Bombyx mori: one gene and its partners. The protein of the gene in region 1 interacts with the protein of each later gene in a pairwise test. Links are inferred from orthologs where the notes say so. Each region holds a gene or a part of one and is shown in the gene's direction. Other genes may lie near its edges. The genes, in order: protein mothers against dpp, Ubx and mitochondrial thioredoxin 2.

Region 1 (4,184 bases):
CCCTAAAAGGATATTACCGAGAAATCAACCCTACCCAAGGCTTCGGTGATGATGTCGGGGAAAATGAAGATAAACGCAAAGGAAGATATGATTTATCTAAATTTAATCAAGGTATGATTTATTTTCGATTTATTTTTAGTACATAATGTATGTATGTCCCTATATGGTTTACTTATTTTATAAATGCCAAAGTTTGGGAGGATTAATAGATATTTGGTACTCTTTCACACAAAAACAACACGGCACGTCCTTACGGATCCACCAGATCCATTAATCTCAGCACTAGACGCCTTTAGTTCTAACACTAGGAGCAGGTTCAGGGACCCTGGAAACCGTAATCGTCGAGCTCGGCAAAGAGTTTGACGTGCAACCTAACCCATATAGGTACATATCAGCCCGCTAAGTTTCTCTTCGGCTCTTCTCAGCGGATCGTCCGATCCGGTAGTAGATTCATTGGTGAAAACTTCACTGGTTTTTAACGTGTATGCATATGATACTACTATCATGATAAAGTACTTGATCCAGGCAAGAACAAAAAAATCATTCGCTATAGTAAAGACGACCTTGTACCTATTCTCTGGTTCACGATTTTACGTAGATACCAAGGATCTACAAATAGACTGGTTATGGACGAGAAAGATTGAAAAACAACTTTTTATCTCGGGAAAATATATGAATTTTAGTATTAATGAATTAGAAATGTATCGCAGGTAAAACCGCGGTGCACGTCTAGTAAGATTTGTAATAGTAACTCGTTTGCGTTATATGTATGATAATGTTTCCAAATTCCCGCTATAAATTAATTTAAAAAAAACTTTCCCTGGCTTTCCTGAGTTTAAGACATACGAGTAATTGAAATAGCTGTTACGTTTTAATACCCCGTATTTAATTCTCAATAAATGATTAGTGACGTTTCGAATACGTAATTTTCACCCATAGTAGACCCCTAATAGACTCACTCATAATTTTAACTTTCAGCAAGTTTCGTACAGTGTGTCAGATACTACATATTATTATCATATTAAATTAAACATGTGATTAATACTTATTAAAATATAAATATAAAATAAAATCATAACCTCGTTAAATATTTTTAAGCATTGTAAATAAAGTAACCTCTACTCTGTTATGTACTAATCACGTTTTACTGATTATCAGCTCCGGCAATGCATATGGCCGTTGAAAACGAAATAACATTGAAGACTCTGATCGTCGAAGACGGATCCAAGTATGGACGCTGCTACTGTTCGTGTGACCTGAATAGCAAGCCAGTCTTCATTAGCTTGGATGGAAGTGCTTTGAAACCTAGACGATGAATCCATAGATATACCTCCTAATTAAGTCATTCTTATCCATCTATAATCCATACTAGTTACATAAATAATACAGTAATACAAATAAAACTATTATCAATTCTATATTCACCCGTACCCTAATTTAAGTACTACTATTATAAAAGCTTGTAACTAAATGATAAGCGTACTTTTTACAATGCCAAGATGTGATGTGTATCGATATAACCTTTTTAAAGAAAGAAGATCCAATACGTCTTACGCTAGTCCTTGTGGTCTAATGGATAAGATGCCCGGTACAATCATACCAACCACTACGGCTATCCGTAGCTAGGAGCTAGGAACTAGGAGCTAGGGTATAGACCTTAGGTCAAATCCCGCATGCTAGCACCAATTTTCTTAGGAAATACTTTTCAGATCTTCACGTACAACTTGCACACATACATACTCACTCGCATTTAATACCAAAATATATATTTTTTAAATAATCACGAGGCTGCGCAAATTATTATTTGAAAAAAAAAAAAAAGTTTTTTCATTTGAAATTTGTCTCTATTCATTTAGTTTACAACTTATTTAACTTTAGGCGAGTCACGAAAATCCATATTCGGAAATCTGTTTTATTTGCCTCAGTAAATTATAAAACATTCAGTATACGATGAAGAAGGTGGTTATTAGAAATAATAAGTGTATTATGTATGGTTATTAGATACACAGATTATTTTAATAGTTGTGATTAGATAATTATAAACAATACTGGGGATAAAAAGATGCCACTGCCTCAGAAGTAATAGTGTTCTGTGCCACGGCCTCCGGTGTCTACAATTATGTGTCAGTGATTCGATTATTCTGTCACTCGAATTCGATCTATCGCTAAAATTAGTTTATATAGTTTAATTCTAGTTATTAGTGACATAGAGTATGTTGCTATTCCGACAGAATATTGATGGCAACATTAACAGTAACGTCAAAAAAGGAACTGGTTAATTAACTGGCATTCTAGTTGTTGCGTTTTAAGCGTTTTATTTTTTATAATCTTGAATAAATTTTGTTATCTAAGGAACTTCTGTTGGACAGTCATTGAATTAAAAAAAAAACCGCGTTCTTGATGAATGTGTAAACAAGTGATTGAAATTGGAGGCCGTAAATCATAGTGGGCCGGACGCTTGGCAATTGTCACGCCAATCTTGTGGAGTTCGTAATTAGCCCGGGACACCGTGGGGAATACCGAATTGCTGATCGATGGTGTGTCGGTTGCCGCGGTGACTGTGGGGACGCGTGTGCCTTTGGCCGGTGACTCATAACAGGACGTAGGGATGGACACTGACGATGGCGAGTCTTCAAGTAGCGGGCCTATGTCTAGCCTTAACAGCCTATTCTCATTTACCAGTCCCGCTGTCAAAAAACTACTTGGCTGGAAACAGGTAATCAAATTTTTTAATAATTATAAAACCTATATCTCACATTGAAGTTAGGACTATTGGTATTGATATGGTATTATTTTGACTAAGCATAAATGTCTAAAAAGCGACAACTTACTAACAGAAATGAATGTACTTCTCATATCTTCTGTTAGTACAATTACAATGTCTTTATTTCAATGAGACGAGAAACAGTATTTAAATTTAGCATTTAGTTTGTATTCGGTGTTTATAACTAAACTGGCAAACGATCGGCAAGGACAGAGATCAGTGGAAAGGACTGGAGGAGGCCTTCACCGGAGGAGGGGTCCATATCCAATAACAAAAATTAACTCGTACTAACATTTAGACAAAAAGCATTAATAACTAACTAAACACTAACAAATAAATACCACATTTCAAATGAAAGTTAAGGATAAGGAAATAGGCTTTTTTTTTGTTTTTATTTTTATTTTTTATTATTTTTTTATTTTATTACCTAAACAGATGAGATGTTTTGTCAACTTCACTATAAAACATATGCCTAAGGGTTTGACTAATGCTTATTAGTGCCTACCATCGACCTAATGATCTGATTAGCATCTCTGTAGGTATTTTTGTGATATCAACCCAATGGCAATAGGGGACCTTCGATTAGCAAGTGTGATGAGGATTCTTAGTAGTGATAGAGTAACTAAGTAGGGATTGTGTGTATGTAACATATCAGTACTGCAATATTCTCTTTGCTTCCTTCTGTTTGAGATATCCACTAAAATATTAAGTATTTGTTGTATTAAAATCCATTTCGTCAAGGATTTCAATTATTATCTATAAGCTATAGTCTGACGGGTCAGATAAAATTGTGGGAAACAAATGTATTAATAAAGTAACTAAAAGTGAATAGACATTACTATTAGTATATGTAAATTGATATACTAATGACAGTTAAATGAGGTGTAAGCTAGACTGACTGCATACCTCCAGAATCTTCTGAAATCTTATTGATGAAGAGGTGCCAAAAAGTAAAGATAGGATATTTTTTCAAATGTAAATAGCATAGAACATCAGATTCAATATCATACTCAACATGTGTCTACAAACCTCATTCACAATAATGCATTAATTTATTAAGGAAAAATAAAGGTAAATATTATAAATTTGGATAATGAGGTCGAGTATTTTAAATATATTGTTCCATGTCTTTCAGTTGTAAAACAGTAATGCATTTTACTTTCAAAGTTGTGAAAACCTTTATACAATAATAAGAAAAAAGAATCTGTTAGTGCCTATCAGCAAAGTTAGAAGTGTCAAAATTAATTCTGCAATCTACAATTTCTGTACTGTAAATAACTGGGTCATTTTCACAGGCATTCTTAAAATAAGCAAGATTAAATCTTTATGTTTCATTCCCAATATGTGCCACGTTTTTCCATGTACTTCTCATGAGCACCAGTCTAGTGCTATGAATCAATAAATGATAGGAATGAATATC
Region 2 (4,396 bases), on another chromosome or scaffold:
TGTTGTTCCATTAATATATAATTCAATTCTAATTTATTAATATTTTTCTTAATTTCTAGTTTGGTGTCGTGATTTGGTTCTGGTTCAATAAGTTATTTTGCAAGTTAACGAAAACCTGAAATAAGGTAAGTTTTAAAAAATCATAAAAAATTTAAGTATATTTAATTCATGAAACGTAAACCACCATTATCTATTAATTAAAATAAAAGTGTTAAACTTGTCATTTTACATATATCATTTTTAATAAATAAATAAAAAAACGTCTCAATACCCGGATCTAAAGGAAATATTTACATACGAAGGCGCAATAAAAATGCGTTCAATTCTTAAGGGTAGGGCGCACCATTCATTCGTTTGACGACTTCATTTGGTCGCGCGAAGTGAACTCGCGATAATGCGCTATTGTTTACCCTCCGATAGTGCGTTGTCCACTGCATGCGCTACACAGCGCGAGACCAAGACCGCTATACACTAATCAGCCCCGCTCGGATGATAACCGTTCCGCGCTCGACGCGCTGTCCCTTTCGCTCTCGAACGGGCGCCTTAAGCAAGAGAGCAATAGAAACATCACTCGTAAAAACAGGTAGTAGAAGAAATAATAATCATCTTTACGACTTCTCACTCTATTCAGCACCTTGTTACGATACTGAACGCTCATTGTGGCACGGTCGACGAGTGGCTGTAAAATCTTTTCTTTACTCGCCCGTTTCACTAATTGTACGTTTATGAGTTTACGACTTTTGCGGCTTAACTTTTTCGTTCTATTCATTTTTGAGGCTTTTGTTGAGGCTCTTCAAAAGTTTTGTTACGCGGTCGTCCGAAGATACATAAATTGTTAAAAGAAAACATATAGTTTATAATAGGATTTGATGTTATTGAGTTCTCTCTTAAGTCATATAAATGTCAGTTATTAACCTAGGTATTCTGAAGTAGAGCAGCTAAAGTTCTAGTTTGTTTGACGAACGTTCGCCACGTGCTCGAGTGGGTGTGATAAGGAAAGGAAAAGAGAGCGTAACTGATAATATTTATAGTGATTAGCGAAAAGGGGACGGAACAATAGTCGTTGGGCTGCGATGGTAGCAGTGAGCGCGGGGCGGCGCGCGTGTCTCAGCCGCGCTCAGTACATTGCGTGAGCCGCGTCGCGCCGGTCGCACACGACACACAGCCGCGCGCTCCCGCCACACGCGACGGAAAACTTCGCTCGCGACACAAGCCTCCGGCCCATACACCACCACGATCACTTCTGATTTCATACAGTGGAGACGCGCTCTCGGCTGACGTCCTGAGACGAGCCGGCGCCGCAGACGAAACCGCTTAAAAAGTCGTAAAACCCGCGGCACGCGCTCCCGAGTCGTAAAATAATCGTAAAAAGTAAACACACGTCAACTGGCCTTTATCGCCGACGAAGCCCATTATGACGCTTTAGTGACGTTTAAGAGGCAATAAAATTAATAAAAATAAATTACGTTGTCCGTATTTGGTGTGACATTGGCGGAGGTCGCGTTATCACGGCGCGCGGGGCCGCGATGACATAAGTGTTCCCTGAGTGACGTTAGTGCCTGTGACTGGTCACGATGAACTCTTACTTCGAGCAGGGTGGTTTTTACGGGGCCCATGGAGTGCACCAGGGCGGCGGTGGTGGAGACCAGTACCGCGGCTTCCCTCTGGGCCTCACGTATGCACAGCCACACGCTTTGCACCAGCCTCGTCCTCAGGATTCACCGTACGACGCGTCTGTCGCGGCGGCCTGCAAGCTCTATGCTGGAGAGCAGCAATATCCTAAAGCAGATTGTTCAAAGCCAGGCGGTGAGCAGCAGAATGGCTATGGTGGGAAAGAAGCCTGGGGCTCAGGTCTGGGAGCACTAGTGAGGCCGGCAGCATGCACTCCTGAAGCTCGATACAGTGAGTCGTCAAGTCCTGGTAGAGCGCTTCCGTGGGGCAACCAGTGTGCACTTCCGGGATCAGCAGCATCAGCCGCGCAGCCAGTGCACCAGCAGCCTACTAACCACACTTTCTACCCTTGGATGGCCATAGCAGGTTAGTAAGTTAAAAAAAATTATCTCGATCACAACTCTATATAAATTGAATATGCAATTTCGAAAAGGGCACACCTCTGAAAATGTAAAATGTTCAGGAAATGAAAAAAAACTGATTATTTTCTAAAGCAGTGTAAAATTTAAAATATTAACTTTTGAAATATATTTTAAGTGTTAATTAGCAATTGAAAATTACGGGAATTATTATAAAATGGGTGTAGGTAAGCCTCAAAACTACATGTATATGAAAAAACGTATTTGACAAAATATGCGACATGTGCCCTTTTCGAAATTGCATATTCGATTGAAGTGTATTATTGCGATCGTAGGTGCAGTTTTTTTTTTGATAAAATTAATTGCCGAAGTCTCTACCTATTAATATTGTATATTACATATTTGTTTACAAATATCACTGAAATTTATGATTCTATATTTAAAAATATATTGCGTTTCCCATAAAAAACTCGTCAACATTTAATATACATAAGTGGAAATGAGAGGCGTAACAAAAATATGTCACGTCCGATACCCCGTAAAAATCACTAAAATGCTGCCATCCTGTTTGGCACACATAATCGGGCCACTTCAGAATCGTCCATTAATGTTTCCTAAGAGTCCAATACTAACCGGCAGGTAGCCGACAAATCAAGTGTCAATAAAAAGCACATAAAACGAACGACCCTCGTTAACACCTTATTAGTGAGACAGATTTGAGTACCATTAATAATTTTATTGCGGACAAAACTCAGGATCCTCCAAATTACTAATTTGTAACGATAAATTGATATCAGTGATTTGATCATAAAATCTTTGGTGTAGACTTCCTGAATGTTGATGGTTCGTAGCAACGGAACTGGTATATAAATTATAGAGCTATGGAACTGGATTATTTGAAATAAAGTTCTCGTGTCTTAAAATTTTTTTTGGAACAAAACTAACAAGGTTTGTGAATTAAAATACGATTTAATCTTGGACTGGACTATACGGAGATTTAGCAGAACATATTATACCTACTTTTTTTACCGGACGACAAAACACTAAAATATTTCGAGAGAATGTAAAATAAAGAGACAAATATGTTGTCGATATTTACTTGTGTTCTCTTTTCTGACCCATAACAATTTAAATTAATTTTATAAATACATTAATAAAGCTAAGAAATAAAATAAAATAAAAGTTATTTATTATTAAAAGTTGTATATTTATTTTATTACTATCTAAAAATAAATAAAACGTTTAACAATCCTTCAATACTTAACACATACTTTAAGATGAAATTTTTCAGGTTCAAAATTGATTGTGTAGGCATAAAGTAAAGCAAAAAGCGCTATTTTAGTGGCCCAACGAGGCAGGAGAGGTGCGCCCGCGCCGCCCGCCCGGGTCAATGGCCCGGTCTAGTTTTGGGCGCATTATTATTAACTTACTGCCACTGACCATTCGACAAATGACCATCCCATTAAGAGCGCTTCAATCTTCAAACATACGTTTCGGTAAACATTCAATTCATGCACTTAAAAGATAAAATAACGCTTTAAAAATGTTTTACAAAATATCTAATACGGCATATTAGTTGGTATAGATTAGAATTTAAGTCTTATAAGAATCGATTCTCTCTCATTCGTAGTAGTTTTTCTGGAAAAGAAGTCCTATTCGAATTTCGATTGAATCGATTAGTTCACCTGGGCCGGCGACGAGTAATTAATGCTACGCGTGTGGTCCCGCCTCGTCATAATTCATGCGACTTGATAAAAATTAAGTAACAGGGCCTAAAAAATAACAAAATAAAATGAGAAGTCGAACCGTCGGCTATAATTCACTGTGGGTTCACGCAACACAGGCCGCGAAACAATACAAGGACGCTTGTTGGACGTGGCATGTATGAAAAGTTCGGGCTTGTCCATGAACGGTCCCTGCTGTTCATTTGGACAGTTTGCTAATTTGTAATACCTGTAAAGTAAACCTTTTTTGGTATAAATACCTAAAACATAGGTAATTTGGTATAAATTCCTATAAATATAGAAAGAAAAAAAAATTGTGGAGCTGTAAATGTAACTAATTTAGTGAAGCAAACGATAAATACGGTATAAGTTGAAGCTCGAAATTGCAATCACATGCTCCCGATCTTACTGCTATATAATTGAGGACTTAAATTACAGGGCCGTGGACTTCTTTTTTTTAAATTTGTTACAAGCGGTTTTTAAATGGAACAAAATAAAAACAAGAAAAATTATTTGGTGGAATAATTTTCATTTTCAATCATACGACAATTATTATGACCCTTCAAACAGCGACTTGAATCTTTCTCTTCTTACTTGGTGCACATTCGTTCTGTAGAGGCTTTTACACATTCCGATTCTTCA
Region 3 (4,226 bases), on another chromosome or scaffold:
TTTTGTTTTCCTACCTAAGCTGATGGTCTTGAGATACCATATCAGGGTGAGCGCACGGGGCTCAAATTTGACGTTGTTGCTAACACGAACCCCAGTAAGAACCGTGCTTCGCAGAATCTATCACCGGATCGGAAACGCGATCCACTGAAAATATCCAGCGAGAAACTCAGTGGGCTGTGTCTTTAGGTTAATTTACTAGCCGAGCCATCCGTCATTCGACGAGAACGATGACTGGTGCTTGGGATACCTAAAAGCACCGTTAGTGGATTGGGAGGATCTGAAATGACGTGAAAATTAAGAACAATAGATTGTTTGTTTATTTGATTGAACGCGTTAATCTCAGGAACTACTGGTCCGATTTGAAAAAATATTTTAGTTTTATATAGCTCATTCATTCAGAAATACTATATAGAGGCTATATAACATCATGCTAAGACCACTACAAGCGGAGCACCAATAAAGAAAATTTGAAACATTTCAAAATGAGGGTATTTTTCTGTTTTGAAAGCTTCTGCTGCGTGCGCTGTGGAAACGGTTAAAGTTTCGCTAAAACAATGTATGACCAAATTGTTCTCCTATAAAGTTCTAAAAAACCTTTTCTACTACGACGGATCTATATTTTTATGTTTGCTCACTATAACGTTTTTTATACTAACCAAATTTTATGAAGATGATATTAATCCCTGTCCAAACAATTACGTTATTCATTACAATTAATTTTAAAGAAATTTCCCCTCATTTGATTTTAATGAGTATGAGAAGATATCGCAGTTTTAAAATAACATCGCAGCATAATAATTACCAAGCGCGTAATATTGAGGTACGAGACGCCGACCGGCCGGCGTGCTGCGGCACAGAGAAGAATAACAAGAAACACCCAAATCACTTCAAGGTAGACTTTGAAAATTATAGATTTTTCTGGATTTCTCTAGGTTCCCATCATCAGATCTTAATGATTACATGATCATTCGGGAAGTCTACTCTTTCGAACAAAAAAAAGAAAAAATAATTATCGGAATTGGTTCAAACCATATACTTAGTATTATTGTAGATATTATTGACTCCATGGTTCAAGCATTCTCCAAAAATTTGTGAACATATATATCATAGATAAAAAATTGTGGTCGAATTGATAACTTCCTCTTTTGAAGTCGGTTAAAAAGCGTGATTTTGGTACCTTCATTAATACCTCCTTAACATTCTATTATTCAAAAATATTTTCACTTTCTATATAAACGAAGAAGCGGGTAAAATCTAACGTTATGCCAAAGTAACTAAGTCTAATATAGATGGTCGCTTCCAAAAATTTTTTAACATTTTATGACTTGGGAGACCTTTAATCCATCTTCCATAGAGAACAACTTGGTACCATAGGTAATACAAATAATTTATGACTTTTCACTCTCAAATCTATGTTTAATGTCTATGCTTTTCAAAAGCTGTATGGGCTTAGATCCCCTTGCCTTTCCTAATAAGGAAAAACTACCAAAAAAAATAATCTATGGTAGTTATCATAGATTATATATACTGGAAATTGATCCCATTTTCTATTACCAAATAATTTGCAATATTGCATAGTGCATTGTTTTTACAAAATGCTTACCAAAAATATTACTAACTTATTCATTCGAAATTGTACATTAAAAAAAAATTATGGGTTTTTGAGAAATTTCTCTCTAACTGCGTCGAAAAACGACATTGTGAAAATCCAGAGTACTGATGACTTCAAAGAAAAAGTAATTAATAGTAAAGTTCCCGTCGTTGTCGATTTCTTTGCAACGTAAGTTTTAATTGGCTATCGTTTTTTATGTGTACCTCGTAAATAGGTACAGTAAACGTGGGATAAGTAGTCATTAATTGTCTGCAAATTAATATCAATGAAATGACCTAATGTCAATTAATGTTGTATGCTAATTATGGTTAAAAATATACCCTCAATAAACATGTACAAAAGAAATATGGTAAAATAATGGTTGGTGTGTATATTCAGTAGGCTTAACTCAGAAAGCTTGAGCTTATAGACTTTACAATAGCAATGTCTTCATCTCAAAACTTGAGGTCAAAGTTATATTGCTTAAAAGTTGAAACCCTGTCAATTAGAACACATAAGTACTTTGCGGCAGAAAGAGGTACCCAACTAAAAGGGTTTAAGATATCTCCTACTCCAGCTCACTATGATCATTATGCTGGTAGAATACTCCAACTGTTTCAGTTTTACAATTTTTGCCTTTTACAGTACCCAAGGGAAGAAATGCAGTGGTTCTATTAGTAGGCTGACACTACAGTTGTGTAATAATAAATATCTATGTTTACATTTGTCATAAATCTATCAGTAAAAATTTAAAAAAATGCACATTGTTGTTACTTATTGATAATTTGTTGATTAAGTACTACTAACCACAAAGGAACTTGTATCTGTTATGATATTAACTAAAAGATATACATATACAGATATATAACTCTTGTGTTTTTAGTCATTACTTACTACCATTTCAGTATTTGTATTTTAAATGTGATAACCTAATTTCCAAAATACTCTCCTGATTTTCTAATCTTAAGGAGGGTTGGTGTCAGAAACATATTAAAACAACATCAAAATTCTGGTTTTCTTTTATTACATTTATCTTATCTATATCTATGTACTCTGATATGAATGTTAAGTTTTTTTTTAAATACCTTGTGGTTTTCTAAATACTGTATAAGAGAACAAGTATATGGGTTTAGAATAATTGTGTTATGACATCACATTTTCTGTATAGTATACCTCCTTTGATACCCTCCTTTGTATGTTGAGACCATCCACATATGCATAGCCTTATCTTGGATAATGTAATTGCTACTTATATGCAAGTTGTGCCTACTGCACTTAATAAGGTAATCCCAAAATATGTGTAATATTTTTACAGGTGGTGCAACCCATGTAGACTACTTACTCCTCGCCTTGAGTCTATAATAGCAGAAAGTAAAGGCAAGGTGGTTTTGGCAAAAGTAGACATTGATGAACAAACTGATTTAGCATTAGATTATGAAGTAAGCTCTGTACCAGTCTTAGTAGCGATAAAGAATGGGAAAGTACAAAACCGTTTAGTTGGACTGCAAGATACTGATAAACTACGCAAGTGGATTGAACAGTTTGCTTCTGAAGAAACTAAAGCAGAAATAAAAGCTTAATTTAATAAAATGAAATGATATATTTTTCTTTGTTACCAATGTAGATTCTTAATTTAATAAATGTTTTATTCAAAAAATTAATTTATTCTTCAAGACATTGTATTAAATCTCGAGCTCTCTTATATGTAACTTCATCAGGTTTGTTAGTCTCTTCTGTTGTATTCTCTTCACTGTTTTCTTCATCTATTTCTTGTGTATTACTTTGACCATGTTTTTCTGTCCATTCATCCATTTGTTTAATGACTTTTTTTGCATCTTCAAGCAATAATGTGCGTACATTCCCTTTTGCAGATTCAAAATACTCAATTAGGGTCTGCCAAGATTCATCAGGTACTAAATTAGTGGAAAACTTATTTTTAAGTAGCCATAACTGTTTAACTTTCATGAACTTCCAGTTTTGTTTGTCATGTTTCCACTGAGAAAGATAGCTGAGACACTGAGATTTGAGTTGATTTTTTGAAAGTTCTGCAGCTTGGGCTTGACGTTTAAGATAGTTTTCTCTCTTTGTTTGTCGTATCGACTTTTTACCTTTTTTATCAGTTGTTTCGGTAATAACGGGCTTTTTCTTTTTCTTTTTACGCGGTGTTTCTTCTGCATCGGAGTCATCAACGTGTTGTCGCTTAACTGCCGCAGGTTTCGATTCAATTTCATCGTCCTCCTCGTTTCCTTCTGCTTCCTGTTTGCGATCGTTTAGTACTTCGGAAGATACTGATAGATTCAGCTTTGTCTTATTTTTTTTATTGTTATGTTTGTTTTTTTTTCCTTTCCTTTTAACCATAGCGGCTTATTTATATACTTTATACAAAATACCCTGTAAGGGTAGCTTTAGTAAAAGTTCAATTATAGTTTATTAAAATTTAATTATATTGTTACTTCTTTTACATAAATCACATAACATAACTTAATTGATATTGGTTGAATAAAAATTTTTACTACAACTGAAAGAGCGTGTAACAATTGTAGGTTATTTTAGGGATGATTTTTTTTTAAGAGATTTTATGACCTGGTAACTAATACCTTTAAGTCATGTTTTATTTTACTTTATATTCTTAATT

What was found.
Region 2: the proteins of protein mothers against dpp (region 1) and Ubx interact in a protein complementation assay, tested with the Drosophila melanogaster proteins (2 studies listed by BioGRID). The link is inferred for Bombyx mori from reciprocal best matches to the Drosophila melanogaster genes Mad and Ubx.
Region 3: the proteins of protein mothers against dpp (region 1) and mitochondrial thioredoxin 2 interact in a two-hybrid assay, tested with the Drosophila melanogaster proteins (2 studies listed by BioGRID). The link is inferred for Bombyx mori from reciprocal best matches to the Drosophila melanogaster genes Mad and CG8993.

The regions. Positions count from the first base shown.
Region 1 is NC_085118.1:1,282,881-1,287,064, reverse strand, and holds the start of protein mothers against dpp, read left to right. Parts: upstream 1-1,371; 5' UTR 1,372-2,608; coding exon 2,609-2,716; intron 2,717-4,184. Other genes in the region: pneumococcal serine-rich repeat protein-like, read left to right, coding at 1-111, 1,159-1,316.
Region 2 is NC_085112.1:6,103,960-6,108,355, reverse strand, and holds the start of Ubx (ultrabithorax), read left to right. Parts: upstream 1-1,574; coding exon 1,575-2,037; intron 2,038-4,396. UniProt on the Drosophila melanogaster protein: Sequence-specific transcription factor which is part of a developmental regulatory system that provides cells with specific positional identities on the anterior-posterior axis. Binds the consensus region 5'-TTAAT[GT][GA]-3'.
Region 3 is NC_085117.1:14,774,938-14,779,163, forward strand, and holds mitochondrial thioredoxin 2, read left to right. Parts: upstream 1-1,527; 5' UTR 1,528-1,595; coding exon 1,596-1,780; intron 1,781-2,906; coding exon 2,907-3,171; 3' UTR 3,172-3,253; downstream 3,254-4,226.